Saccharomyces cerevisiae S288C: one gene and its partners. The gene in region 2 interacts genetically with the main gene of each other region. Each region holds a gene or a part of one and is shown on either strand. Other genes may lie near its edges.

Region 1 (7,655 bases), on a different chromosome or scaffold from region 2:
TGTAAAATTGGAATTCGTCAAACTTATTGTTATTTTTCTCTAAGGTGTAATGTTTGGCCAAAGTAGCTGCAGCTTTTAAGTTTAATTGGTTCCAATATTGCACTCTCAAATCATTCTTCAATATTTTTACAGGCTTTTGTAGTCGTCCTGCTAAATAGAATGTATTCCAAGTAGCTATGTCCTTTAAAAGTGTTTCCATAGAAACCACCCCATATTTTACGTCGTGTCCATTTATATTTGCAAATGGATTAAAATATACGCCTGCGCCGATCTGTTGAAATTTAGACACGAACTCGGAACCGAAGTATTTCAAACTTGAATAATGTTGCGGATTCTGCCTCATATTAATAGAGTGAAAATGTGATGGATATGTGACGCCCAAGATTATATCGATTTGAGGTTTGCTATGACTTTTGGAATATCCCGCTTGTTCGAAAACTCCTGAGCCGTAACCAAATACAAACCGGCACGGAGCTTTGAAGGATGACATTACCCCATCCAGTTCCTTTTGAAGTTCCTTATCGATAGTAATGAGCTGGTTACTTCCATAGTTGGGGGGCAATCTGTGAAACTTGTACATATAATTTGTAAAATTGGAAGTCATTTCGTCAGTTTTTCTTATACCTTTTTCCAAGAGGTCCAGATCACTGCCTTTAGTAATTCCCTCGATGTAGTGATTCGGCCTTTCGTTAATAGTTCCATCGGGGATAATGCCAGCATCATCTATGGAACTTCTCCCCTCCTTTATTTGAGTACTCAGAAGCCTATTAAACATGCTTACGTTCGTTGAATGGCATTTCAGCAGAAACCGTAGACCATTTTCAGAAACTCGTAACATAACTTCAGGATATATCAAAGTAAAAAGCAGCTCCTATTAATTCAAATTATTAGCTCAATCCTATAGCAACGTTTCTCAAGTTTAATTGTTTTGAAGGTTTTAGAACCTTTTTCACATTATTTAGTCCGTCGAAACATCTACTCTTTACTATTTATGGCTAAACAGGCTGAAGGGTATGATTTCTTTTCTTTTCTTTATTCATGTCGGGTAAGAGAAGGTCACTTGACCTATGATGTGGGGGCAAATAATAACGTGGGAATAACAAGCGCGCTACTGGTAAGTGAAAAACTAAGATAACAGTTGAATTTCGTGTTTAGATGCTATAGAGAGTCTGGTACAGCATTGGCGATTTAAGACTTCTCTAGTCCACATTTCTTAAATTCAAAATCACAAGCGCCTGTTAACGATCATTTTATAATCTACGATGTGTAAATGCAAAAAGTGCTTTCCTCCCTCTTTAGTTTGGACAGGGATAGTGGGTAAACGAGTAGCATTATGAGTGCATACATTGCCAGAAAGAAACCGCAAAGCGGCATATCTTTTTTCTTCTTTCTGTTGTAAGGGATGCTTCGTCACGTAAAATGGCCGCCGGAGTGAGATGTCACAGATTACATCAAAAGGTCGGCGTATACTGGATAAGAAAATCCGAACTTTTCCGGTGGGCTTTACCAGCAGAAAAGTGGCCGGGCATGTATTAAATATATCACCGTATTTTCTGCTGGCTTTTTCTTATGCAGAGAACAAAGGCCAGAGTGCCTTCGAGGAAATTAAAGGGAGCAATGTGATAGATATGTCCTGTGTCATTTGCTTCAATTTTTCCTGCCATTTATTTGTAGTTATATTTATATCTAGATCAACCGAAACTATACCAACGACGAAGCTGCTTCTTAGTAAATATATTTTCTACTGTGTCAACGCATTGGAACTGACATTGTTCTTATCCTATAAGTCATACAGTTGAATTTGTTAATTCTTTACTAGAAGTTGGGATTTTCAGCACTTATGTCACCGTGTTATGGACAAAACAGTGCCATCGCCAAGGGGTCTTGGAACAGAGAGGTTTTACAAGAGGTGCAACCGATTTATCATTGGCACGATTTCGGGCAAAACATGAAAGAATATTCGGCATCACCCTTAGAGGGGGATTCCAGCCTGCCTTCCAGCCTGCCTTCCAGCACTGAGGACTGTTTACTACTATCATTAGAAAACACAATCACAGTTATAGCCGGAAATCAGAGACAGGCTTATGACTCTACGTCGTCTACTGAGGAAGGTACAGCACCTCAATTACGGCCGGATGAAATAGCGGACAGTACACACTGTATCACGTCATTAGTTGATCCGGAGTTCAGAGATCTTATTAATTATGGACGTCAAAAAGGAGCAAATCCTGTATTTATTGAGAGCAATACAACAGAACAATCCCATTCACAGTGTATTCTAGGCTATCCCCAAAAATCGCACGTGGCACAGCTATATCACGACCCCAAAGTACTCAGCACAATTTCCGAAGGGCAAACAAAAAGAGGAAGTTACCACTGTTCTCATTGTTCTGAAAAGTTCGCAACGTTAGTTGAGTTTGCCGCGCACTTAGACGAATTCAACCTTGAAAGACCGTGTAAGTGTCCCATAGAGCAATGTCCCTGGAAAATATTGGGTTTCCAACAAGCAACTGGTCTGAGAAGACATTGTGCTTCCCAACATATAGGAGAGCTTGATATAGAGATGGAGAAATCATTAAATCTAAAAGTAGAAAAATATCCAGGACTGAATTGCCCATTTCCTATCTGTCAGAAAACGTTTAGGCGCAAAGACGCCTATAAGAGACATGTGGCCATGGTGCATAACAACGCTGATTCAAGATTTAACAAGCGTTTGAAGAAAATTTTGAACAATACCAAATAGTTGAGGCATTAAAAATGTACCCCATGAAACTCTTGTTAAATTTGTGCAGGCATGAAAGCTACTGTATTTTTTCTTAAAGTAATAAAAATAAAACACAATGATATTAAAGAAAACGCATGCAACTATGGACACTTGCTATGTCGTGAATATGGCACCACGTTGGTTACTTAGCTAAATAAAAAATCGTAAGTACTCGCATTTTTTCTTCTATATTCACTTTGCTTCTTTGGACAGTTATTTCAATAATAAATATTTCTTTTTTTCTAATCTCCCTTATCACCTAAGAGGAAAAAGTTTGAAAATAAACTTATGGCTAGAGGTTATTTGGTATTCCGAGAAAACATTTGAAACTAGGAAGTTTACATATCAGTGCAATTATGTTTCCTTCGATGATTCACGTACCCTCAAAGTCAGTACCATAAAATTGAAAATAAGACAGGTGTTTTTTTTTTTTTTTTTAATCATACAAGAATTCAACCACTTAAGTAGGATATTAGCGCTTCTTGTGCCGAAAGTCTCGTAATTTCCAATTTATATGTTTTTTAGTTGCATCGCCCTGGTTCCACAAACCGTATTTACGAACCCTCTAGGTAATAGTATCTTTGGCAGTTCTTTTCCAGCTAAGATTTTTATGTTCTCACCGTTGGCGGTTATTTTTCTAAATACCCTCAATGAAAAACTCACATCGCACGCACATTTCCTGAAAATATCTTTGAGAAATATAGCAATCCTCGAGAACAATTGCAGGACAGGAAAAATATTAAGAAACAATAATCGCTAGATCAATCATTTTATGGAAAAAGATCTGTACAGCCAAGAAGAAGAAAAAAAAGAAGAAAAATGGCATTACTCTTTTGTAATTTTCTTGATGAATAATATGGGGGGACAATATAATAAATGCACACTATCTGGTTGAATAGACCAAAAAAGATAGCTTTCTTTTTCTACTTTTTTTCTTTTTTATATTAATTTTTTTCTTTTTTCACATTTTCAAGGTCAGCATTGTATTAAATCTATTCATGCCAGAAAGCCATTATTCATTATTTTTCAAATAGGGGTAGCGGCTTTTTCATCAACTCGATTATTACCCTTTAGAGACCTTCCCTAAAGTGAGCGGCAATTATTTCCGGATGTTAGTAGGGTAATATGGTTACGGATTTGTGACACAAAAGGGCTTTTCAACAGTCGGTCTGGGTTGAAGGATTTTCAGGATGACGAAGCTTTCAATAAGAGGGACTGGACTGTTAACGCGGGGAATTATAGGTTACTTTCCTTGATCTGGCTCTGGCTCTGGCTCTGATTTTGGCTCTTGTACTCCTCGGACTTCTTGACTTGTAACGAAATACGTCTTTTGTCCTTCTCTTCTTCTTCCATAGTAGGGGCGAATGAGGGGAGCATAGTGGATCCTTCTAACCATCTAGAATGGGGTGGACAACATATAAAAGAAGAGCAATCTTGCAGCGCAGTCATATTTATGCTAAGTATATCATTATTTCTTGCTAGCGTAAGTCATAAAAAATAGGAAATAATCACATATATACAAGAAATTAAATATGTCAGAACCTTCAGAGAAAAAACAAAAAGTTGCTACCTCATCTTTAGAACAATTAAAAAAGGCCGGGACCCATGTGGTTGCTGATTCGGGTGATTTTGAGGCTATTTCGAAGTATGAACCACAGGATTCAACAACTAACCCTTCTCTGATATTGGCTGCTTCAAAGTTGGAGAAATATGCGAGGTTTATCGACGCTGCCGTTGAATATGGTAGAAAGCATGGCAAAACTGATCATGAGAAAATCGAGAACGCCATGGATAAGATTTTGGTGGAATTCGGCACCCAGATTTTGAAGGTAGTCCCAGGAAGGGTTTCCACTGAAGTAGACGCAAGGTTATCTTTTGATAAGAAGGCGACGGTGAAGAAGGCTCTCCACATCATCAAACTATATAAAGATGCGGGAGTACCTAAAGAAAGAGTCTTGATCAAGATAGCTTCTACGTGGGAGGGTATCCAAGCTGCTAGAGAATTGGAAGTAAAGCATGGTATTCATTGTAATATGACATTACTGTTTTCCTTTACGCAAGCAGTAGCCTGTGCGGAGGCAAATGTCACATTGATCTCCCCATTTGTTGGAAGGATTATGGACTTTTACAAGGCCCTTTCAGGCAAAGACTATACTGCAGAAACTGATCCCGGTGTTCTTTCTGTTAAGAAGATATACAGTTACTATAAGAGGCATGGTTATGCAACTGAGGTAATGGCGGCTTCTTTCAGGAATTTAGATGAATTGAAGGCGTTAGCCGGTATTGATAATATGACTCTCCCACTGAACCTTCTAGAACAGTTATATGAATCAACAGATCCTATTGAAAACAAATTGAATTCTGAGAGTGCTAAGGAAGAAGGCGTCGAAAAAGTCTCTTTTATCAACGACGAGCCTCATTTCAGATATGTTTTAAACGAAGATCAAATGGCTACAGAAAAACTATCAGATGGTATCAGAAAATTCTCCGCAGACATTGAAGCACTGTACAAACTGGTTGAAGAAAAAATGTGATCATTAAGAGTAGAGGTACCTACTTATATATATAAATATATATATACCACTTTCCTTTTCGGTACTTAGTATTGAATTTGTTTGAGTATATGTGCATAGCATAGTGTACAGACTTATATATTCATTAAAATTCTGACGTATAATCAAATTCCGAGGGGTTCGTGAACAATTCTTCGTATCCCGCCCACTCTCCTTTTACCACTTTTGGATAGGTTCGCCATATCTTTCTTTCTGTCGGAACCGTCTCTGACTTTAGCTTCTTCGGTAATCGTGGCGTAATTACCTTGCGCAATATTATCATTATTCAACGCAACTTTTCCGGCTGTCTGCACTTTAGTGCTTGTGTTTGTTTCGTGTAGTTGTGGTGTCACTTCCTGAATCTTTTGGCTCCTTATGCTCGGTCTATTTGATTCATTTACCACATTAGTACTTAATATCCTCTTGGGCTTCTTGAAAGGCTTATTGACCTTCAGAGTAAGTTTGCTGATGTTGAATCCTCCCTTGGTGGCATTGTCCTCTGTCTGCTTGCGATTGGGAGTTGTGACTTTTATGTTCGAATGAACTTCTCTCGCAGTTGAGATATGATTCAAACTTGGTGCATTGTCTGAGATAAGAGGGCGTTGTTTTTGCACCGACAAATTTGAAGGATATGCCCTAACATGCGTTGCTGCCACTTGAATATCTCTATCGTACTCCTCAATAATATTTGAAATAATCACCAAAAACTGACTAAAAATCCTATGTTCTTCAATATCAAAACCTTCTGGATTTAGAATTGCTTTCAGCTCTTTTGAATTTATTTTAAATTCACTAGCTAACAAAACGTTATCCTTTTCCGTATAAAGCATGAATCTGTTGTTTAACTGAAAGTATTTCAGTCTACCATCGTGCCAGATTTTACGTTTCTTGTAAAGCTGATCAGTGTATTGGCATTCATACTCAACGATATGAGAGAGCATACTCTGTCATGCGATCCTTGGGGATTTCTTCTTTCTGGTGTTCGTGAAATGGGCTAGCTTTGGCGTGCAGTTCAAATTGAGATTTCACATCGCGAGAAGCTCTCAAACCGACTTTTTTCCCTAAATAGAGACCAATTATAAGAGCAAATAACATGCATATAAGATTGAGGTAAAGAGATATTATCGCTATTCCAACGAATATGAGCTCTTGGTGTTGAGATTTTTCCCTTGGTAGTTTCAGGAGGCTACCATATATTATTACATTGTTTTCTGAAATCTATAACATGGGTGTCTAATTATATAGAGAGTAGCAGGAAATCTTCGACGAGTAAGTCCAGCATGGAGTTACTCTCTTATTATTCCCACACCAAATCCTATTCCTATGCTAGCAAAGATAGCTAACATCTCTATACATCCTAATACAAAGCACAATGTCCTGAACCATTGTACGTCAATGTCCCATTCAAACCCTTTGAGGAGGCCGATTCTATGTTCATAATTCATTATCATTCTCATTAATCTATAATTTGAAACGCCATTATTTCCATTGATTGAAAAGAAAAAGAATAAGGGCGGAACAAAAAGGCAGATGCACAGTGTAGTTATAACCCTTGGAATACTATAAATCTCGGAGAAGCCATATATTCGGGAATCAAATGAACGTATGGAGGAGGAATCTATTCTTTGAATGGGCATTGTTTCCATTTGAAAACTTAATTGCTGATCTCGATCAATTTCTTGAGGAATTTTTTTATATTGATGTTGCTTAATACTATTGTCACCTTTTCCGACCCCAGAAGCTAAACCAGCTTCTATATTACTTTCGTATTCCTTTTCGTGTAGTTGGTTTGGACTACGCATGGTGTCCATTGCGATACCAAGAGGGACTTGAGGATTAGGAATTTTCTCTAAATCAATTTCGTTGGTATTCTTCTGCCTTTGATCTTGCATTCGAGTTCCAGAGGTTTCATTAGTTGGATTATACTGCCCATTAGAATGCACTGTATTTTTTAAAACAGCGGAAGAACTTCGCTGGTCATTAGCAAGGTCAGCTGCTTCAAAAGGCTTTAATATGTCAATTAATAGGGAATGGTTTCTTGGGGTTTTGAGGCTAGTGGACTTATTCGCTGGTATTCTGTTCCAGGCCTTTTTAGGAATTTGAAATTCATGTGGGATAAACGCTTTATCGGGAAAAGTACCATTTAGCGTGCTGTTAGGAACTCTGCTTTTTGCTACATCAACAGCCCCTTCCACAGGAGAAACAAGATCTACACCATACCGCATAGAAGGAAATGAGTATGTACCTTGTGTTTGCCTTGTAGACTTATTTCCGGAGACGGTAGCCCTTGGTCCCTGGTACGGCGCAGTTCCTTCGGGTGGTGGATAGAATAAAGAAGA
Region 2 (3,170 bases):
CTGCCACCTCAACAGCAACAACTACAATCTGTTCAACATCCACAACAACTTCAAGGCCAGCCTCAAGCCCAAGCTCCCCAACCTTTAATCCAGCATAACGTGGAACAGAACGTTTTACCTCAAAAGAGATACATGGAAGGTGCAATCCACACTTTAGTAGATGCCGCCGTATCCAGTAGCACCCACACAGAGAATAACACAAAGTCTCCTCGTCAACCAACCCATGCCATTCCAACGCAAGCTCCCGCAACAGGAATAACGAACGCTGAACCACAGGTAAAGAAGCAAAAGTTGAACTCTCCAAATTCAAACATCAACAAATTAGTAAATACTGCTACTTCCATTGAAGAAAATGCAAAATCTGAGGTGAGCAACCAATCGCCAGCAGTAGTGGAGTCTAATACCAATAATACTTCACAAGAAGAAAAACCTGTAAAAGCAAACTCAATACCTTCAGTAATTGGCGCACAGGAACCTCCACAGGAAGCTAGTCCTGCTGAAGAAGCTACCAAAGCAGCTTCTGTTTCTCCTTCTACAAAACCGCTTAATACGGAACCAGAGTCATCTAGTGTCCAACCAACTGTATCATCAGAAAGTTCAACAACAAAAGCAAATGACCAAAGCACTGCTGAGACCATAGAACTTTCTACTGCTACTGTTCCTGCAGAAGCAAGCCCTGTAGAAGACGAAGTAAGACAGCATTCTAAAGAGGAAAACGGCACAACTGAAGCATCTGCACCTTCTACTGAAGAGGCGGAGCCAGCAGCTTCCAGAGATGCTGAAAAACAACAAGATGAAACCGCTGCTACAACGATAACTGTAATCAAACCTACTTTGGAAACAATGGAAACAGTGAAAGAGGAGGCCAAAATGCGTGAGGAAGAGCAAACATCTCAAGAAAAATCCCCACAGGAGAACACACTTCCAAGAGAAAATGTAGTAAGGCAAGTGGAAGAAGATGAAAACTACGACGACTAAAAAGTTTGCATTCAAAAAATTAATCTACTAATTTATAATCAACGAGAAATGTTGTGTAGCTCACAATTCATTCATTATGTTGTGGATACATATATAAATAAAGAAAAGGCTAAAAAAAAAGGTGGGTAACGTGAATTAGGTTATTTTTCATATATGCACATGTAAATATATGCGTATATAAATATATTATTATTTGTATCATTACATACTTAAAATCTATTATTGCTTAAAAGGTTTTCCCGATGAGCATATGTAATAATATTGGGAATTAAGGTGCATTTTCGTATCCTTCATTGTGTATCTACAATCTCTTCAAGAAATTCCCTTATTTGCTTTAAAACGGTTTCCCTTGTTGAATCCGATACCATTTCTAGAAAAAAAAATTCCACTGTTAGTAACGTTCTCTTTTCAATAAATTTAGTGATAAAATATTCACATACCTAATGCTTTGGGTTCTACGGTGGATAAAATTTGGGTAAAGTTCGTAGATTCATTTATGTTCATCTCTGATTTGGTCAAATCTTTGACTTTATCCACCCAACCTTCTTGAAGTAGTCTGGCTTTTAGTTCGTTTGAAATTCTAATAAATGTGACGGTGATCTGAATAGTCAGTAAAGTAGATTTTTTAAAAAAGACAACCCCTATAATATTTTATCATACAGTTCATAGTTTCCTGATTCTACAAGATATTGTTGTATTTGACTCTTTAATTGCGCAGTATCCATAGTCATTGGAGTGAAGGCCAGAATTGTTACTTCTGATTTTGTCGCATGTGTTGGTCAAGCCATGCCTATGGCAATTTTCATTTTTTATTTTTCATAATTCCTCATTTTGGTCTTCATGGAGGAAGAGGTCCGGCAAGCGAATACACTTCCGTAAGGGATGGCAAGTACGGCCGTTAGCGGTTTAATACAACGTCAGACAGCCTTCATATGAATCACGTATATATGCTTTTATGATTATTCTTTCGGCATTTTCCTTCCTTCTCATACTTAGATGTTTTTGAGAAACGTAAGAGTTATTTCCCTCAATTCAAGGAGACTATTTAGAACTATGAGCACCGTCAAGGGTAAACCAGAAGATGCTAAAATAATTGAAGCCCGTCACGTTAAAGAAACATCTGACTGCAAGTGGATCGGTTTACAAAAAATCATCTACAAAGATCCCAACGGGAAGGAAAGGGAATGGGATAGCGCAGTCCGCACCACTAGAAGTTCCGGTGGTGTAGACGGCATTGGTATCTTAACCATTCTAAAATACAAAGATGGAAAACCTGATGAAATTTTGCTACAAAAGCAGTTTCGCCCTCCCGTTGAGGGCGTATGCATTGAGATGCCAGCCGGTTTGATAGATGCGGGTGAAGATATTGACACTGCTGCCTTAAGAGAATTAAAAGAAGAGACTGGTTACAGTGGTAAAATAATTTCTAAAAGCCCAACAGTTTTTAACGATCCTGGTTTCACAAACACCAACCTCTGTCTGGTTACTGTCGAAGTTGATATGAGTTTACCTGAAAACCAAAAACCAGTTACTCAATTGGAAGATAATGAATTTATCGAATGCTTTAGCGTTGAGTTGCACAAGTTTCCTGATGAAATGGTTAAGTTGGATCAACAAGGCTACAAGTTGGATGCACGTGTTCAAAACGTAGCTCAAGGTATCCTCATGGCCAAGCAATACCACATCAAATAGATAGCGATAAGTAGTGTTTCTGTATGAAAAATAGGCGAGATGTTAATACCAAAATACAAAGTACCTTTTGCAACAAGATAGTGTCCCATTTATGAATAAGTACATTGAAAAAGAAGGACGTAATGAAAATAACATTCCGTAGGAAATTTGACAAGGCTATTTGCCATCTTAAGTAGTCAGCATTGAGGTATATTTTCCAAAGCGCGACGTTACGTGTTACCAAATTTTGAATCTAAACTAGCCCTTTTCTACTATTTCCACTGATCTACCTTACGATTCTGCAAAAAACTACCATTAATATCTGTTGAAATCAGTGGTAGTGCTCCTTGTATGTCATACATGGTTAGTGTTCCTTGATTTAAGTATTTGGCTACAGCTTGGACATTGCCGAAGGGCGGCAGAACTGTCTGATAATTGCTGGGATTCAAATTAACGATGAGGGCACAACATCACCTACAAGAAATATAAAAGAAGTAGTCCTTGAGGATATATTTATCAAC
Region 3 (8,484 bases), on a different chromosome or scaffold from region 2:
TGCTTGAACGGATGATTCCCGTCGCCCCACACCTATGCATACAAGACGTCAATCTTCCTGTGATTATATTTTGAGTATGGCGTAGTAATCCCATATTTCTCGTTGGGTGGTGCTGATATTTGAAAATTCATGACCTGTTCTACATACGGCTGCCATTGGTAGGACCGCAATCACAGTGTAATTTTGAAGAACTTACATTGGGCCAATGGATGAGCTGTGACCATAATTTATTAGTTGTTTGTGTCACAAGCTCAGACTTAGAAGTTCTCTATTGCAAACATTATTTCATGTTTCCTTAAATTTTTTTTATTGCACCAACTTTAGTGACCCCTTGTGAGCTCCAACATATTTGAAATCTTCTTAAATTTCTAGTCGGCAAGCAGCAAAGAATTTCAGTAGTAATCTCTACCGCGGCAATATCGATGCAAATGTAACTACCTGTAAGGATATTGTCTTCAGTGGTTTGGTATGGTTTTGTACCTTACTCAACATCACGAATAAAAAGGAAGGAATACGAATCATGATATTGATGTTTAATCTTTCACCGTCAAACAATTAACATATATAGTATATATATTCTTTTATAGAATACTGCTTGAGCTATTTTTTTACTTGACAGAATGGCGCCGCGAAGAACCCCTAAATTTTGTAGCCCTAATTTCGATCAGTTATATATAGCTATGGCACCCTCTTGAATAGCTTCATGATTGGATCTTTTTATATAGTTTCCACGTACCACGCAAAACTTGTCTCAAGTAGCCACTTTACGAGGATTTTGAACGGATTTCTAGCAGTTTCTTCACGCTGGGGCGCTGTTGCATTCTCTTATACCAAGCTCGAAGCGCCTCGCACTCTTCCGGCACTTGTAGTTTTACAATTGCAGCAAATATTAGACCAGCTATTACTGTGATGTCAGCCATTGAGAATGAATCACCAGCAACATATGGGCGTTCTCTGAGAACGGTATCAAAATAATGCATTCCATGTAGGGCTTTGTCGCGCTGGCGAAGTCCCCACTCTTTGTTTTGGTAAAGCTCGACTTCAGGCCCCAATCCAGGTGTAGCATGGTGAAAATAAACACTAACAGGGTCGAGCAGTTCCAACTCTGCGCGTTTGTTCATCATGTGGATTACGCCTTTTTCCAGCGGTGTTTTGCCGGTAAGAGTGGGTGTACCATCAAGTGCATCAATGTATTCAGTAATGGCTGTGCATTCAGCGATTAAAGTCCCGTCATCAAGTTCAAGCACTGGCACTGTGCCTGAATAGTTCTTGGCAAGAAATTCAGGCTTCTTGTGCTCTCCCTTCCAGAGGTTGATCCTCACAAATTGCACACTTGATAGCATGTTCTTCTCAGCCAAGGCAATGCGGACTCGGGCCGGATAAGGCCCTGCGGGTGTGTCATATATTATCATTTTTTGTTTCATCTTTTCACCTCCATTGTAAATCAGGAAACCTCTGCCATTCATGTATCCTTTGTAGGTACTTTATATAGAGCACCAAGTTTCTATCCTTTAGCAGGAAGCACATTATTAATCATTTGAGACGTAAACGAATGAATTAGTAAGCAGTGAAAGAAATTCGAGCACTAAGCGCGACCTAAGGGAACGGACACGGAACGGAGAAACTGAAGTATCAAATACTTCCATTTGATCAAACCACTTGTATCCACTCCCTGTTTTGCACACGGTAGTAGAAGGTCTTTTGAATATTTACTGTAAATACCGATTTCTATGTCCTTCTTGTCCGATTATAGGATTCGGGTCATTTCCAGCGCCTACTTTCCTTCTTGATTTCAAAATGTGTGGTTAACGTACTCCCAATTGCACTACTGTTCCTACAGTTCACGCGCACCTCTTTCTGATGAAAATGCAGCTGCATTAATCTGCGATCTATTGGCATCTCGCTCTTGTATCTGCCCTCCATTCGTGAAATTTTACTCTATTACCATCTTTGATCATTTTTTTGTCGCAAATGTGATACGGCATCCATCGAATTTTGCTCGTAATTGTTTGCCATTATCGCCCTTTTCATTCCGTATTATTCATCCACTCCGCTTCATAATGGGTTCCAAAAAAAGAACTATTGTACGAGCTTTTAGACTCACGAAAACATTACTTGAACAATAATTAGCGCCTGCAGAACTTGACATAATAAAATTCCATTTTCGATATCTAGCTGTCTGAAGATATGATATCTAAGTAATACGGGAAAGTTTCCGCTATTATTCTCTGTTGCAAGCTCACGTGAAAATGTGGATTCGCGAGTGGGGTGTAAGTGAGGATTGCCAAGCCTTTTGTTCGAAAACTTCTGCAGGAAGCGTTGTGTTGCAAGGATGATGCAGCATGAAATATGTGTTTTCTTTTTTTCGAGGTTCACTCCTACAGGTGATTCCTTCGAGAAATTCTGCAACCCATTGTGATATGATGCCTGGCCGAAAGATTTCTTCATTTCTTCGGAGCAGGTTCGGCCCGAAATCCTCATGATCGAGCCGAATGCCAAGAAGTAAAACACCAGGATGACTAACCAGTTATTATCATGTGTATACAGTACTTTGGTACCTTTATCAAGAAGTATACTAAAATATACCAACACCACACACATGCACATGGTAGCTGAGCGAACAGTTTCGAGATTTCAGCATTAATTTCATCTAATAAGACTTTCCGTCTGCTTTCAAGATCAACGTGCTGAACATTTTTACTCTGCTTTCATAATACTCCCATTTTAGGCTTTGATTCAAAAGCCCACTCAATGCAATACCTAAAATGATATCCTTCAAAGATATGTTTAATGAATATGCAGCCACAGCTTTGAATTCAGATTGACCTTGTGTTGCATTAAGTCAGACACCTCTAGATTTGTGTGGCTGCTCTCAAGAAAGGATGTTGAAGAAGATTTATTTACGGAAGAAATAACTGTATACGGCATTTTATTCTTTCTTAAACGAGCAAATTAAAGAATAGACGGATAGAGACTGGAGCTTTAGCATGTGTTCCGAGAAGTCCTTGACACGCGCCACGGTTGTTATGCCGCACACTACAATGATGTGTTTGAAAAAGTATATTAATGCCTATTGTCAAGATGCAATTCATCAATTCCAGCATTGAGTGATTCTTCTCTGGTGCGGTAAAACATAAATTTTAAATCTAGTACTCAACCACCACTGAACAACTATTAATCATCGTGGAAATTATTATGACGGAAATTGAATTTGGGCAACCCCTTCCCAGCAATCTAGACTATGCTGTTTCTTTTGGCATTCCTACATGGGATTCGGCAATAGGCTATGCGGAAAAGGTGCCAGAGGTAATAGGCAAAATGGCTACAGGATATCCGAGGTACTTTCCTCAACCCCCCGTCCAGAGGCTTTGTGCTTACTTTGTTAAGAAATTTGGGCGAGGTTCAGAAAACTGTCGTCCTTTTCCATCCGTTAACCTGGGTTTAAAGTGTTTCGAGTACGTAAAATCTGTCTCAGGACCTGAAAGTAAAGCTCACCTTGAAGTGGAAACAGTTACGATTAAAAACCGTGGGGCAAAAACGTCGAAAGAACCGGCGGAATTGGTGCTAACCATTGCTGCTGTCCTTGCATCGGAGGAAGAGTTCGAGACTGTGAAAGAGTATTGGAAATTAAGAGGTGAATGTGTATCTAGTCGATTGGCGTTGTCTGTCAACCAACTTCTTGACTGCGCTAATCATGGCTCAGAGCAGGTATTGCGTGAGCTAGAGGCTGGTGTTTTTGCAGCAAAGAAGGGGGAGGAGAAAGCAAAGAACCTGATAAAGGGAAGGATAGTTGAGAATCGCTTCAGGCCCTTTGGTTTGGAGAAGAAAACCCCGAATTGGGAGGGACTCAACCTCAACCCAAATGAAGACGTTTATCTTGTATCAAGTGGCATGTCTGCAATATCTACGGCTCGTAATTTACTCACCTTTTGGGAGGAGAAGAAGAATTCAGGAGATTCATTAAACAAGACCACCTCTGACCAAAAGAAAAAGCCATTATTATGTGACACTGTTGGCATCTTCGGCTTCCCTTTCAAAGATACGCAGGTCATTATGACTAAATTTGGAAAATGTAAATTTTTTGGATTTGGAAATTCTAGAGACGTTGTCGAATTACAAAAGTTTTTAGAAACAAGCAAACAACGCATTCTTGCCGTTTTCGTCGAGACACCTTCAAATCCTCTGCTGAATATGCCGGATTTGAAAAAATTGAGGAGTTTGGCCGACCAGTATGGCTTTTTTATTGTAATTGATGATACTATTGGGGGCCTTAACGTTGACATCTTGCCCTATGCTGATATAGTCAGCACGTCCCTGACTAAGCTTTTCAATGGTGCTAGTAATGTAATGGGCGGCTCTGTCGTTTTAAATCCGAAATCATCTCTGTATCCATATGCTCGTGAGTACTTCAGGAGCGCTAATTTCGAGGATTTGTTATGGTGTGAAGATGCGATAGTTTTAGAACGTAATTCCAGGGATTTTGAAGATAGAACTTTACGTGCTAATGCAAACACAGGAATATTGTTGAATGATTTGCTTTTACCCGAGGAGGGGAAAATATGCAAAAAGATTTATTATCCAACTGTTACTTCTAAGGAGACCTTTGAGAACTACGAAAGTGTACGTAATGAACGTGGTGGCTATGGATGCTTGTTCTCTGTAGCCTTTTTCAATGAGGGCGATGCAAAAGCATTCTATGACTCTTTAAAGGTATTCAAGGGACCTTCTAATGGTACTAACTTTACCTTAGCATGTCCATATGTCCATCTGGCGCACCACTCAGAATTAGAAGAAGTTTCCAAGTTTGGGGCCGACCCCAACATTATTAGAGTAAGCGTAGGTTTAGAAGATATCCAGTGGTTATTGAAAGTTTTTTCAAGTGCTTTAGATGTTGTGAAAAGCAGAGGCTCCAAACACTCATGAAGCAGATCATGAGTAGAATATCAAAAATCAAGAATTCTTTATAATCTTTATAGAATATTGTTTATAAAAGTTTTTTTCCATTCTAGCATATAATTTTTTTGGAGGAAGTCTTTTCTGGAACCTTCACATGGATCTTAATTAATGAAAGTAGACAGAGCTCATAAGATCACTAGTTGTTTATAAACTGAAGATGTTCCTTCTTATTGACTTCAACATTATATCGCTCTGAATTAGTTGATCTGTAACTTCAGAGTTTCTTTACCAGAATAAAAGCGTCACAGTTTTTCTTTAGTTTATATGTACACAGGTTGGGGTTTACTATAAACTATAAAAAAGAAGTGTTGTCGCCGCTATTTTAAGGTTTATACACAATTTTAACCAAAAAAAAGAATAAGTTGAGCAACGTTGGAACTGCCTCTGCAACGAATTCCGGCTATATACAACCTGCATCTTTGAAATTCAAATATCCAAAGTTAATGAAGAAGGATAATAATTTTCATCATTCAAAAACTTTAGATCTTCCACGGGCCTTTCCGCTTGTGGAGTAATCCTGAACGCATGTCTGTGAATTGGTTCTTCCCAATCAATCACTGCTGAATGTTGAACTCTGCGGTTATCCCAAATGACGACGGAATGAGGTTCCCATTTGGCTCTTAACTGTAAATCATGGCTGCTCTCCACTAGATTGTACAAGAAATTCAAAAGTGATTCAGATTCTTGTCTTTTCAATTCGACTATTTTCCTAGAAAATGCACGATTGACATACAAGCATTTCTTTTTCAAGACAGGATGAACTCTGACCAGTGGATGAATATGCGTGACAGGTGCTCTTCTTTTTATGCCGCCCTGGCGCTGTGAATTCTCTGCCTGTTCCTTTGAGCTATGGATGACATGAAGCGTGCTCAAGAAATCTTGCAAAGGCTTCGACAACCTGTCGAAAGCCTCGATCGTATCCGCAAATAACGTATCTCCACCACCATCAGGACCTTCAACAACACTAAAGAAAGTATAAGAAGGTGGCTGTAACTCGTAAGAGACGTCTGTGTGCCAGCCACCAGATGATGTCGAGTCATCAAAAACTCTTGCAAATTCTTCCGCATCAGGTCTTCGGAAAGTGATATGCAGCTCAGGATTGTTTTGAGGGTGGCCACTAGTTTGATGAATGTGCAACTTGCCAAAATGTCTTCCGTATTCAGTCACATAATCGGGTCCCTCGTCAGCAAAATTCTGATTTCTAAAGACAACTACTCCCTTTTGGGCGACAAGCAAAGCGAGTTCATCTTTTGCAGCATCAGAAAGATCAGTTAGCTGGATCCCATTGATCTCGAGACCTAATTTCGGGGTGATCTTCTTCACCTTTAGTTGACCAACGTTTTCTTTTGCAAAAAGGTTTGAAAAGTTACCGTCAGCTCTCAAAGCAGGATCATGGTATTCGTGAAATTCCAGCGGGCCATACTTTTCAGTAGGATCCCATGTAGGCAAATAATCTGGATACTTCGATTTCTCTCTATAAGATTTACGGATTTTCAATAAACCAGATGGAGAGACCTCATCTTGGCCATCATAAAAATGGGTATCAAAATTCCCGTAACCTTGCTTGGAGGTATAATTCAGGTTTTTCAACCCATTTGTAATGATTTTGACTGGTAAATCGGTAGATGGAAGAGGGATTGCTGTTTGAGCTGCTGCAGGAGACATATTTTAACTGGGTTACTGTGCTATGTTTGTACAAGTATGAAAGGGCCGATTATACAGCAATAGTACACCTTTTTATATGTTTCTGTCATCAAGAACTGTTACTGACTCCTTAACTTTTCCAGCATTCTTGTTGTATTGCCTACATACCTTCTTTATGTTAGTAGTATGATAAATAAACTCCATGTGCCCTGTGGCGCCAAATAAGAAATCGACTCAAGCCACATTGAGGCTTTTGTCATCATTCCCCTATATACTAATATAGCACCTTTCCAAGGGCCAAGAGCTCGTCCAATGAGACGCATGAGTTGGGTATTTTAAGCTGCACAGTAGACTATATAGATAAAGCTAACTAGTATGTAAAAAACGTTACATGCTATGGCGCTCTTAGAAAAAACGCATAATATAAGCTTCAAGTCAGTTTAAGCTATAGTTCGCACGGATATCTTCAAGAAGACCGATTTGTTGTGGCTGCCATCCCAGCTCTTTTCTGGTACCTTCGCTTGAAACTGGGCCATCTCTAGTGACAAAACAAGTGAGGAAGCCAAAATGACTTTCCGCGTCATCAACAGGGATAGAGGCCACGGGAACATTCAAAATTTCTCCAATCACACGCGCAATATCTTTGAATGGTATACCTTGTTCACCAACGCAATGATACACTTGTCCTGTTTTTCCTTTCTCTAAAACAAGTCTGAACAGAGGAGCCGTATCCAAACGATGTACAGCCGCCCAAGCGTTTGTGCCTTGTCCGACATAGCCAGATTTTCCGGCAGCTTTGGCAATATTCATTAATATTGGTACAAAAGCCTTGTCCCCCTTGCCATGAACCGAGAATGGGAGTCTGACAATTCTTGCTGAAACACCTTTGTCTTTGTAACTCAAGGCAACCTGTTCAGTGACAGCACGCAAAATTTTGGAATCTTCATCAATACCATCCTGTTCGTTAGCAACTTTGTTTGGTCGCAAAGAAAGTGTACCATTCGTATATAAGAAAGGCTTGTTAGAACCTTTAAGTGACTCTAGCATAGCTACAGTGGCCTGACGGTCAATTTCGCAGCACTGTTCAAAATTTTTAAAATCATGCACAAATCCTAAATGAATAACGCCATCAGATTCAGTGGCACCTTTTTTCAAAATTTCCAGATCCTTGAGATCACCGCGAAGGATTTTTGCAGCAGGATCAATCGACTTAATCTTTGCAGCAGCCTCGTCTGACCTTGCCAAGCCAACAACTTCATGACCCGAGGATATTAGTTCAGATAATACGGCAGAACCAATGAAGCCAGAAGCACCAGTTATAAATACTTTCATTTTTTGATCTCTTTTTTATTTTCTTTTGTAAAAGTTGAGTTATCACGCCTTAGCGCTTATGAATACAAGAGTGATTGTAAGCATAGTTGATAGAAGCGGGAGCCGTTATTTATACGTTAGTTGAGTACTTGAGGGTCTTCATCGCCTACTTTTTTTCCTTAATATCCTTGTGTTAGTAATCATATCTTCAGGAAAGCCAAGAACTAATGGCAAATTAAATCCGCGGCTTTCCCTTTAAACTTTTTCCAGCACAATCTATTATGTTGAGAAGTTCCGCTAATTTCCGCATTGGAAAAAGAATCTCATCTGCAAAAACGATGGTTTCTTTCTTCCACGGAAGACTTATGTCCGTCCTCTCTATTTTCATATTGTTCTTTCTCTCTCTTTTTGCATAACGTCACAATACCCTAGTGCTACCGTCATTGGCGCAGCATAAGAGTATTGCATTTCATGTCTTCAGATTTTGCCTCGCGAAAGAGAAAACACTAAGAGGTGAAAAACAATAAAATTATGTTCCAGTGTGTCATACGTGAGGTTTTATCACGGGGCCAC
Region 4 (8,638 bases), on a different chromosome or scaffold from region 2:
TCAGGGGATTGTACTGAATGTCCGATGGTTCTTTCATCGACAAAAATTTCGTAATCGTTACCACCGACCATAGTCTTGTCACCAAAGAAATGAATTTCCTTGAAACCATCTTTTTCAACGTGTTGCAAACAGTAGGTCTTATCCCAACCAGCGGGGAAAACGTCGAAAGAGATTTGGCCACCAATGGAGAAAGTCAAACCGTAGTCTGGGAATTCCTTTTTCAAAGCTTCAACGAACTTGGCTCTGATTTGGTGTTCCTTATCGTATCTTTCGAATTCGTTTCTTTCCTCAGTAGAAGCATTTCTACCAATTGGGGAAACGTTGATCATACCATTTCTAAATTCCAAGAAAGTACCTCTTCTCTTTGGCAAGTCAATTTCAGATAGATATCTCAAAATGAAGACGGCCAATTTATTGTATTTTTCCTCACCGAGCCAGTTGATGAAGGATTGAGAAGCTAATTCCTTACCTAATCTGTAGGCGGTCAAACCATTTTCAGAGAAAGAATAGTCAAATTCATCTAAAACGTTTGGGCCTAACTGTTCTAATTGCTTGCTTAAGTCAGAACCACCGACAAAACCAATGCAGCACTTGTTTCTCAACTTGGCCAAAGTTTTTCTAACTTCTTCAGAAACAGTTAATCTGGCTGGTGTCAAGGTACCATCAACATCGAATAAAACCAAAGTTTCTGGTTTTTCCTTGTAAGCGAATTCAGCGATACTCATTATTGGTGGTTATATTAGCAGATAGGTAAAAAAGGAGAAAGAAGTACTAAGGAAATTGTCGATTTAGTTTTCGTCAAAGATCTTATACTTTGCCAAGAAGAATAGACGATATAAACAGAAAAATAAGTGAAAAGAACACGTAAAAAACGGCACATTTTAATATATTTCAAATTTTTTTTTCATCAACGACAAAAGGAATGCATTTTATCCACTTTTCGTGTCTCATGACGAGTATACCGATAAACGCCAAATGCGTATTTTATTATCTATTTTGGCCAAAATCAACGTGTCCCGTGGATTCAGCGTGCCTAGCAACTTCTCTTTCACCCACAAAGGTCATTTGGCAAGTGTTGCATTTGATCTGGGCCTTATGAGTGTTGAAGGAATAGCCAGTTTGCTTCAAATTTGAGGCCAGTTGCAAAGCTGCTGTTAGAACATCATCTGATTCCGGCTGGTTCTTGTTGAAAACAGTTTTAAACTCGTTCATGGTCAAGGAATCATAGTGGATTCCGTTGAACAGTATCAAAATGTAGTTGTCGAACTTGTCCTCGTTGAACTTTTCGATTTTAACAGCGTCAATGTCGACTACATAAATAGCTACTGCGAGTGCATCGGATATGATACCAATCTCGATGGCTCCACCCCAAGATTCCATTTTCAAAATCCATTGCGCGTAATCTTTGTTAGGTTTGTCCAATATGGCGTCATTGAACTTGACGGGGTTGTTGAGGACCTCCTTAGAGACCATCTCCCTGAGGTCACGAACGCTATCTTGTTTGAAGATGCCATAGGCAATAGCATGGAACAGACACGAGTTGTCGTCGAGAACAGGATGTACTGATAGGACGTTTTCTCCACTGCCACCAATTGACATCTCAGTGCTCTTCAGCACCCTCTTTGGTTTGGGTTGTGGTGGTGGCAAACTGAAGCTTTCGTTACTATCAGAGGACTCTATTGTAATCTTTTCACCAGAGTTAATACCCAGCTCGTCCAGCTGGGTTTGTCCCAAAGAAGCGTCTTCCCCTTGCAAATTGATCCTTTGAGGCGGATATCCAAACCTCATCGTCTTAACATCTACATTGATATGCTCAATAAGATCATTTAGTGTTGCATCTTGCTTCAAAGTAACGACTTGGTTGATTCCTGCTCCAGTAACTTTCAGTTTCATCTTGAAAGTTTCTTCTCTTGGTTATCTTCTTCAATGTTATCTTGTTTTCAAAGGAAAAAGTTGTTATTTGCCACTGAAATCGGCTTATTTCGCCCTTTACTATTAGTTACTACCATTGCCCTATAGAAACGATATATATTGGTACGAAGAAAATACAGATCACAACTTCAGTTCTACCAATTGCAGCTTCACCAGTTGATGTAATGAGACAGCAATTGAACGTATGTAGAACAGATTAAACAATAGCAAAACGACCACAATCAAGTATAAGAACAACCATGTTTCCATGGTGACCTTGAGACCTTGCTGCTCTGCAATTGCGGGAGCCGTAACAACCGCTTCTCTTGGTTGTTCAAGGTCAACCTCTTTCAACTTATTTTTTACTTCTTTATCATCTTGCTCCTCTTCCTCCTTGCTGATAGTAATTTGGCACTCTTCGACATTGTTCTTGATGAACTTGGAAAGAATACGCTCCATTAATTGCGCAGCCTCCAATTGACCATTCTTGCATCCATTTTCAACCATACCTTTGATCCAACTGGAACCAGTCCATTCCACCCAAAAGGATACCCGTAACAGACACGTTATTTCGTCATTCCAACGGATTAGATACCTTGTCTTAGTTGAGAAACTACCACCACTGGGCACGTTCGGAGTGCGTATGCTACTGATAACCTCATAGTAAGTATCAGGATCTTTTCTCTTTATTACCTCAGCAACATAACATGTCGTGGACTTGGGCCCCGCAGGAAAGTGCAATGCTTTCTCGTATGAATACTCACGCTTCAAAGTCATGGAAGATCCGTCAATGCTCGTGAAATTTGGAATAGTGGTAATTTGTGAACCTTCTTGACCCCGTAAAAAATCTAGAAGAAATTCGTTTTGCTCTGAGTTGAACATGATCTCAAAAAGTATACCAGGTGCACAATCGAATGGTAACTCCTTGAGAACAAACTCGTTATTGGCCATAGGTTCAGCCGGAAAGCTTGTTGAATGATGATATATTGGACCATCATACTGATACGAGGAATCGGCACGCAGTTTATACGCTTTCTCTTTTTCTTTATCCGGCGAGGAACTCGTACTATTGGGGGTAGTCTCATTTGTAGAGATATTTTCATCGTCATTTTCATTAGTGTCATTATCATTAGCGTCTTTATCATTGTTTTCCTCATCGATGGAGTTTATTGCATCATCAATCTCTTTGCCATTTCCTGACTTTTCTGCTTTAGTATTGATGTTTTCGCTGGCCATGTCCTTCTGCAACAAGGTTCTTGACCACACTTCTTTCATTAATCCAAATGCAGCATCCCTGGATATAAAACCATTAAAGAGAGTTTTGCCCATCTTTGTTTCGATGGATATTGCGCTGGGGAACAACCCAGCAGCAGAAGTTTTTTCCATAAACGTGACATCTTCGAACGCAATCAGTACTTTAGCAATCCAACCAAGAACATTGGAGTTGAAGCAGAGATGCGTTTCTGTTATGTATAGTTTCCCCTGGTAAAGCAGCTCTCTATTCAGCCCACAATTAAAATCATCCAGTAGTCTGTCATCTTTAGGAACGGACTTGAATGTCTCATGAAAGTCTTTATTTCTTTGCTCAGACGCATAGTGATAAGGTGTGTCCATGTAACGTTCTTCCACGAATCGTCTATGATCGTAATTGTCTTCTTTCATTTGGGAAGGAGTGAGTCTTGTCTTGACCTCATCAGGCTTTTCCACCTGTTGCAAGGGAGAGCCTATTTCAGCAATTGTGGCATTACTGATACGGCGGCTTGATCTTCTTTTGGACCCCATGGAAGGCTCCCTTCTATGTGATATAATGCTTGGTTGCGAAACTGGCGAAGTTGGCGTAGTTGATCTAGAAACTGGGGATGGCACGTTTGACTTAAACGAAGAGATCATTCCACTGAAGAACGAGGACGTCGAAGAAGTCCTTGATTGATCGTGCTTGATCTCTGTAGGGTGTTCATCGGCGGCACTTTGGTTTGTAATCACTACTAAATTCTTGCGTACGTCGTTGGTCTCTGTATTTAGGGGCACTTCTTGCAGTGACTCAGCTTCAGTATCGCCGGCATTGTCATTGTTACTTGCATGCTCAAAGGGGGGACCCAATTGTTTCACAGAATCAGTACTGTCCTCATTATCTGATACGGGTTCCCAGTTATCTACATCCGACATCACCACTAATCTTTTTGTGTAGTTGCCTTCTTCACCCTTTTCTCAGATAGCGAAATGGTTGAGTGTTTTAATATAATTGTCAAGATGCTTTATGAAAAAGGGTGGGAGAAACAAGTCCCCCTGCTCAGCGATACGCGATCTCTCTGATCTCAGACATAAAGCAAACATTCTATCATGAGTGACATTGAGGATGACGGTAATTGGTAATATCTGACCTTCTGACCTCCACTCAACACAATGCAGAAAGCTATCAAATGTTTTGAACCAAACATGAAAGAGATTCAGAAAGTTGCCAAGCCAACGTGATGTCACAGGTCAAAGTTTAAGTGAAGGCTATTGGAATCTGCGGATCAGACATTCACTACTACACGGATGGCCAGGTCAGCGTAAAGTAACCTGGGAAGCCCATGACTTTGGGCCACGAATCCAACGGTGCTGTTCTTGAAATTGAAGTATCTCAAACTACTGTAAAGCGGGTGATGCAGTAAGCATATAGCCCTCATACCCAAATAGGTTTACCAAAGAGTTTCTGTGAGGCCATTATAGTTTGCAGCTCAACATACCATTTGCTGCATCACTGACCGTGACGGCACCCTTTGTCAAGAGTTCGTGGTTAACGTCGACTGCGTTTACTGATTACCGTTACAGTGAATTTCTAGCAAGAGTCCTCTGTAGATGCCACTATTTGTCGCTCTCCATGTAGTAAGGCCGTCCTAGCTGAAGTGTGGGGAGTAAGCTGTAGTTATAGGTGCTGGAACAATTGATCTGCTGGCGGGTGCGGTACTCAGAGGGTTTGGTGTTCATGAGTACACATGATTCCAAGAAAGAGCAAAATGGACAGTTTATAAACGCTATGAAGAACTGCTATAATCAGAAAAAAAGGAAGCCTGATGGATTCGAGTCCTCAGGTACTCAAAAGAGCGTTGAGAATATGCTAAAATGTGTCAAGAACGGTGGAACAGTTAAGTAGGTTGATATCCACCCCTCGAATGAAAATGTGGGGACCCTCCCAACGAGATTCCTTCAGAGAGATTACATATAAAGTGAAATTCAAGTATGACGATGGTGACTACTCCTTGGCCATTGATTTGATGTCTAGGGATTGTATTAATGTCTATGAGTTGATTACCGATAGGCTACTGGTTGATTTCCTTTCAAAAAAGCTGCTCAAGCTAAGATAGGTAAGGTGTTTATAGAATTTATCGAACTGTATCTAAATATTTTTAATATTCTTGTTTTATTACTTTGTGGCTTTTGTATTCAGTCTGCACCCTGTTTCGCCATCGATTCTTATAATACATACATTTTTATATAAGATCACAGAAAATACGAAGACGTAAAAAAAGAGTTCCGAATGAAAGAAGAAAGAATCAAGCACAGGAAGACAAGAAACGATGTTGTTCTACTCGTTCGTGTGGTCTGTACTGGCCGCTAGTGTTGCTTTGGCAAAGACACATAAGTTAAACTATACCGCTTCTTGGGTAACTGCCAATCCTGATGGATTGCATGAAAAAAGGATGATTGGTTTTAATGGCGAATGGCCACTTCCAGATATCCATGTTGAAAAAGGAGATCGTGTTGAGCTTTATTTGACTAACGGCTTTCAAGACAATACTGCTACTTCTCTACATTTCCATGGTCTTTTCCAGAATACGAGTTTGGGGAACCAGCTTCAAATGGATGGTCCTTCTATGGTGACACAATGTCCCATCGTTCCGGGACAAACATACCTGTACAACTTCACTGTCCCAGAGCAGGTAGGAACGTTCTGGTACCATGCACACATGGGTGCCCAGTACGGTGACGGTATGAGGGGTGCATTTATCATCCACGATCCGGAGGAGCCCTTCGAATATGATCATGAACGAGTCATCACTCTATCGGACCATTATCACGAAAATTATAAAACGGTTACCAAAGAGTTTCTGTCAAGATATAATCCAACCGGTGCTGAACCTATTCCTCAAAATATTCTTTTTAATAATACGATGAATGTAACTTTAGATTTTACACCCGGTGAAACGTATCTCTTCAGGTTCTTGAACGTTGGGCTGTTTGTATCCCAGTATATCATTCTTGAGGATCATGAAATGAGTATAGTAGAGGTGGACGGTGTTTACGTAAAGCCAAACTTTACTGATTCGATATATCTTTCTGCGGGGCAAAGAATGAGTGTGTTGATTAAAGCTAAAGATAAAATGCCTACAAGAAACTACGCTATGATGCAAATAATGGATGAGACGATGCTTGATGTTGTCCCACCTGAGTTACAACTCAACCAAACTATCCAAATGAGGTATGGCCACTCGTTGCCGGAGGCACGCGCATTGAACATTGAAGATTGTGACTTGGACCGCGCCACGAATGACTTTTACCTAGAACCTCTGATTGAGAGAGACCTACTTGCTCACTATGACCACCAAATTGTCATGGATGTAAGAATGGTCAACTTGGGTGATGGTGTGAAGTATGCATTTTTCAATAATATCACTTACGTCACACCAAAGGTGCCTACTTTGACAACGTTGCTTACCTCAGGAAAGCTTGCGTCAGATCCTAGAATTTATGGTGATAATATCAATGCGCAGTTATTGAAACATAATGATATCATAGAGGTTGTTCTAAACAATTATGATTCTGGCAGACATCCATTCCATTTGCACGGTCATAATTTCCAAATAGTCCAAAAGTCGCCAGGGTTCCATGTTGATGAAGCTTATGACGAATCTGAGCAAGATGAAATGACCGTCCCTTATAACGAATCTGCGCCATTACAACCGTTCCCTGAGAGGCCGATGGTGAGAGATACAGTGGTTCTTGAACCTAGTGGACATGTTGTCCTGAGATTTAGAGCTGACAACCCTGGTGTCTGGTATTTCCATTGTCATGTAGATTGGCACTTACAACAAGGTTTGGCTTCGGTCTTTATTGAGGCACCCGTTTTACTTCAGGAAAGGGAAAAGCTTAATGAGAACTATCTGGATATATGCAAAGCCGCTGATATTCCGGTAGTTGGTAATGCTGCAGGTCATTCGAATGATTGGTTTGACTTAAAAGGATTACCAAGACAACCTGAGCCACTACCAAAGGGATTTACTACTGAAGGATATTTGGCATTGATTATTTCAACCATTATCGGTGTCTGGGGCCTATATTCCATTGCTCAGTATGGTATTGGCGAGGTTATCCCTAACGATGAGAAGGTGTACCACACGTTAAGGGAAATCTTGGCTGAAAATGAAATAGAGGTTTCTCGCGGCTAATTAAACAAGAAAATATAAAAGAAAAATGAAAGAAGTTTATATTCATATTGATGATTTGCAATCCTAAAAAAAATGTAGCACTGTAAATACTGCTTACTATTGAGTATTTTCATTTTGTTCATTCCATTCCCTATATAATATTCATACGTAATCAAATCTATTGCTTTTTTTTTCTCTTTTATTTCGTTGTTTTAGCTCTGACGTTGTGACGCTCAGCCAAGAACGTCACAAAAAAAGGATGAAAATCAAAAAACAAAATATTCAATAAGTGTAATATGAGAAGAGAAAAAAGAAAGAACAAGTACAGTTTCTAACATTATACTTTAAAAATTATTAAGCACAATGACAGCAATGAAAGCTATTGTCTGGAGACTTCCCAAGATGCCGAAAATCAAAATTACAAAAACTTATGAAGTTACGAAAATTACGGCGATATTGACACTAGTAGGATTTATAATGGGCCTTGAGGTGCCGTCATTGGCAACTTTTCTCACAAACAAAACGTTTAATGAGTACTTCAAGTATCCAACTCCTTTACAACAAGGTTTACTCATGGGGTCCACCCCCCTGGGTGGTATCATGGGATGTTTTATTTGCTGCATAATGAATGATAGATTCAGTAGAATATATCAATTTCAATCGGGAATAATAATATGGAATATTGTTACGTTATTGAACTTTTGTATTTGGGATATATTAGGTTTACTAATTTGCCGGATGATCAAGGGTATGATCCTTGGGAACTTTTCAATTTTAGTAGCATCCTACGCAAATGAAGTTATCCCCCGCGGCAAGCGTGGAAGTACGATGAGCTATATTCAATTGTGTTTAACCATTGGAATTCTTGTTATGCATTATTTGTGCATTGCATTAAGTCTATGGGATTCTCATTTTGCGTTCCGTATAGCGTGGTGCATAGGAATCATTCCTGGATTACTGTTCTGGATGGCTAGCTACGCTCTACCTGAATCTTATCACTGGCTAGTACTACATGGGAAGATGAGTGAAGCTCAGGAAATTCAGCACAATTTAGCCAAAAAGTTTAATGAAAGCCAGCCAAGGGATGCAGTCCCTGAGATGAGTAAGATCGAATTAGCAGGAGATTTTTGGATTGGAGTTAATGATTTGGACTTCTCCAAAAAATTACCTCGGGGTTCGTTTAAGCCTTTGATTCTTGGAATGACTTTACAGTTATTGGTTCAATTTAGCGGTATAAACATTATCCTTGGTTATATTACATACATTTGCGAGATTGTAGGGCTTGAAGGCAATGTAAAACTATTCACCAGTTCCATTCC

What was found.
Region 1: mutations in YSA1 (region 2) and NQM1 together harm fitness more than expected from each alone (negative genetic interaction), as found in Saccharomyces cerevisiae (2 studies listed by BioGRID).
Region 3: mutations in YSA1 (region 2) and HSU1 together harm fitness more than expected from each alone (negative genetic interaction), as found in Saccharomyces cerevisiae (2 studies listed by BioGRID).
Region 4: mutations in YSA1 (region 2) and FET5 together harm fitness more than expected from each alone (negative genetic interaction), as found in Saccharomyces cerevisiae (2 studies listed by BioGRID).

The regions. Positions count from the first base shown.
Region 1 is NC_001139.9:578,078-585,732, reverse strand, and holds NQM1 (sedoheptulose-7-phosphate:D-glyceraldehyde-3-phosphate transaldolase NQM1), read left to right. Parts: upstream 1-4,296; coding exon 4,297-5,298; downstream 5,299-7,655. Other genes in the region: TAM41 (putative phosphatidate cytidylyltransferase), read right to left, coding at 1-838; YGR045C (uncharacterized protein), read left to right, coding at 1,437-1,799; RME1 (Rme1p), read left to right, coding at 1,841-2,743; MTE1 (Mte1p), read right to left, coding at 5,442-6,257; BUD9 (Bud9p), read right to left, coding at 6,603-7,655. UniProt on the Saccharomyces cerevisiae protein: Transaldolase is important for the balance of metabolites in the pentose-phosphate pathway.
Region 2 is NC_001134.8:460,678-463,847, reverse strand, and holds YSA1 (ADP-ribose diphosphatase), read left to right. Parts: upstream 1-1,974; coding exon 1,975-2,670; downstream 2,671-3,170. Other genes in the region: transcription regulator CYC8, read left to right, coding at 1-978; SUS1 (Sus1p), read right to left, coding at 1,269-1,348, 1,419-1,558, 1,639-1,709.
Region 3 is NC_001144.5:20,374-28,857, forward strand, and holds HSU1 (cystathionine gamma-synthase), read left to right. Parts: upstream 1-3,195; coding exon 3,196-4,923; downstream 4,924-8,484. Other genes in the region: glutathione transferase GTT2, read right to left, coding at 765-1,466; JLP1 (sulfonate dioxygenase), read right to left, coding at 5,383-6,621; YLL056C (uncharacterized protein), read right to left, coding at 7,036-7,932. UniProt on the Saccharomyces cerevisiae protein: Plays a role in inorganic sulfur assimilation during sulfur-limited conditions; catalyzes the conversion of O-acetyl-L-homoserine (OAH) into homocysteine in the methionine biosynthesis pathway.
Region 4 is NC_001138.5:43,668-52,305, forward strand, and holds FET5 (ferroxidase FET5), read left to right. Parts: upstream 1-5,471; coding exon 5,472-7,340; downstream 7,341-8,638. Other genes in the region: phosphomannomutase SEC53, read right to left, coding at 1-725; ubiquitin-specific protease OTU1, read right to left, coding at 988-1,893; LAM5 (Lam5p), read right to left, coding at 2,053-4,077; YFL041W-A (uncharacterized protein), read left to right, coding at 5,067-5,258; YFL040W (uncharacterized protein), read left to right, coding at 7,683-8,638. UniProt on the Saccharomyces cerevisiae protein: Iron transport multicopper oxidase, which is required for Fe(2+) high affinity uptake. May be required to oxidize Fe(2+) and release it from the transporter. Essential component of copper-dependent iron transport.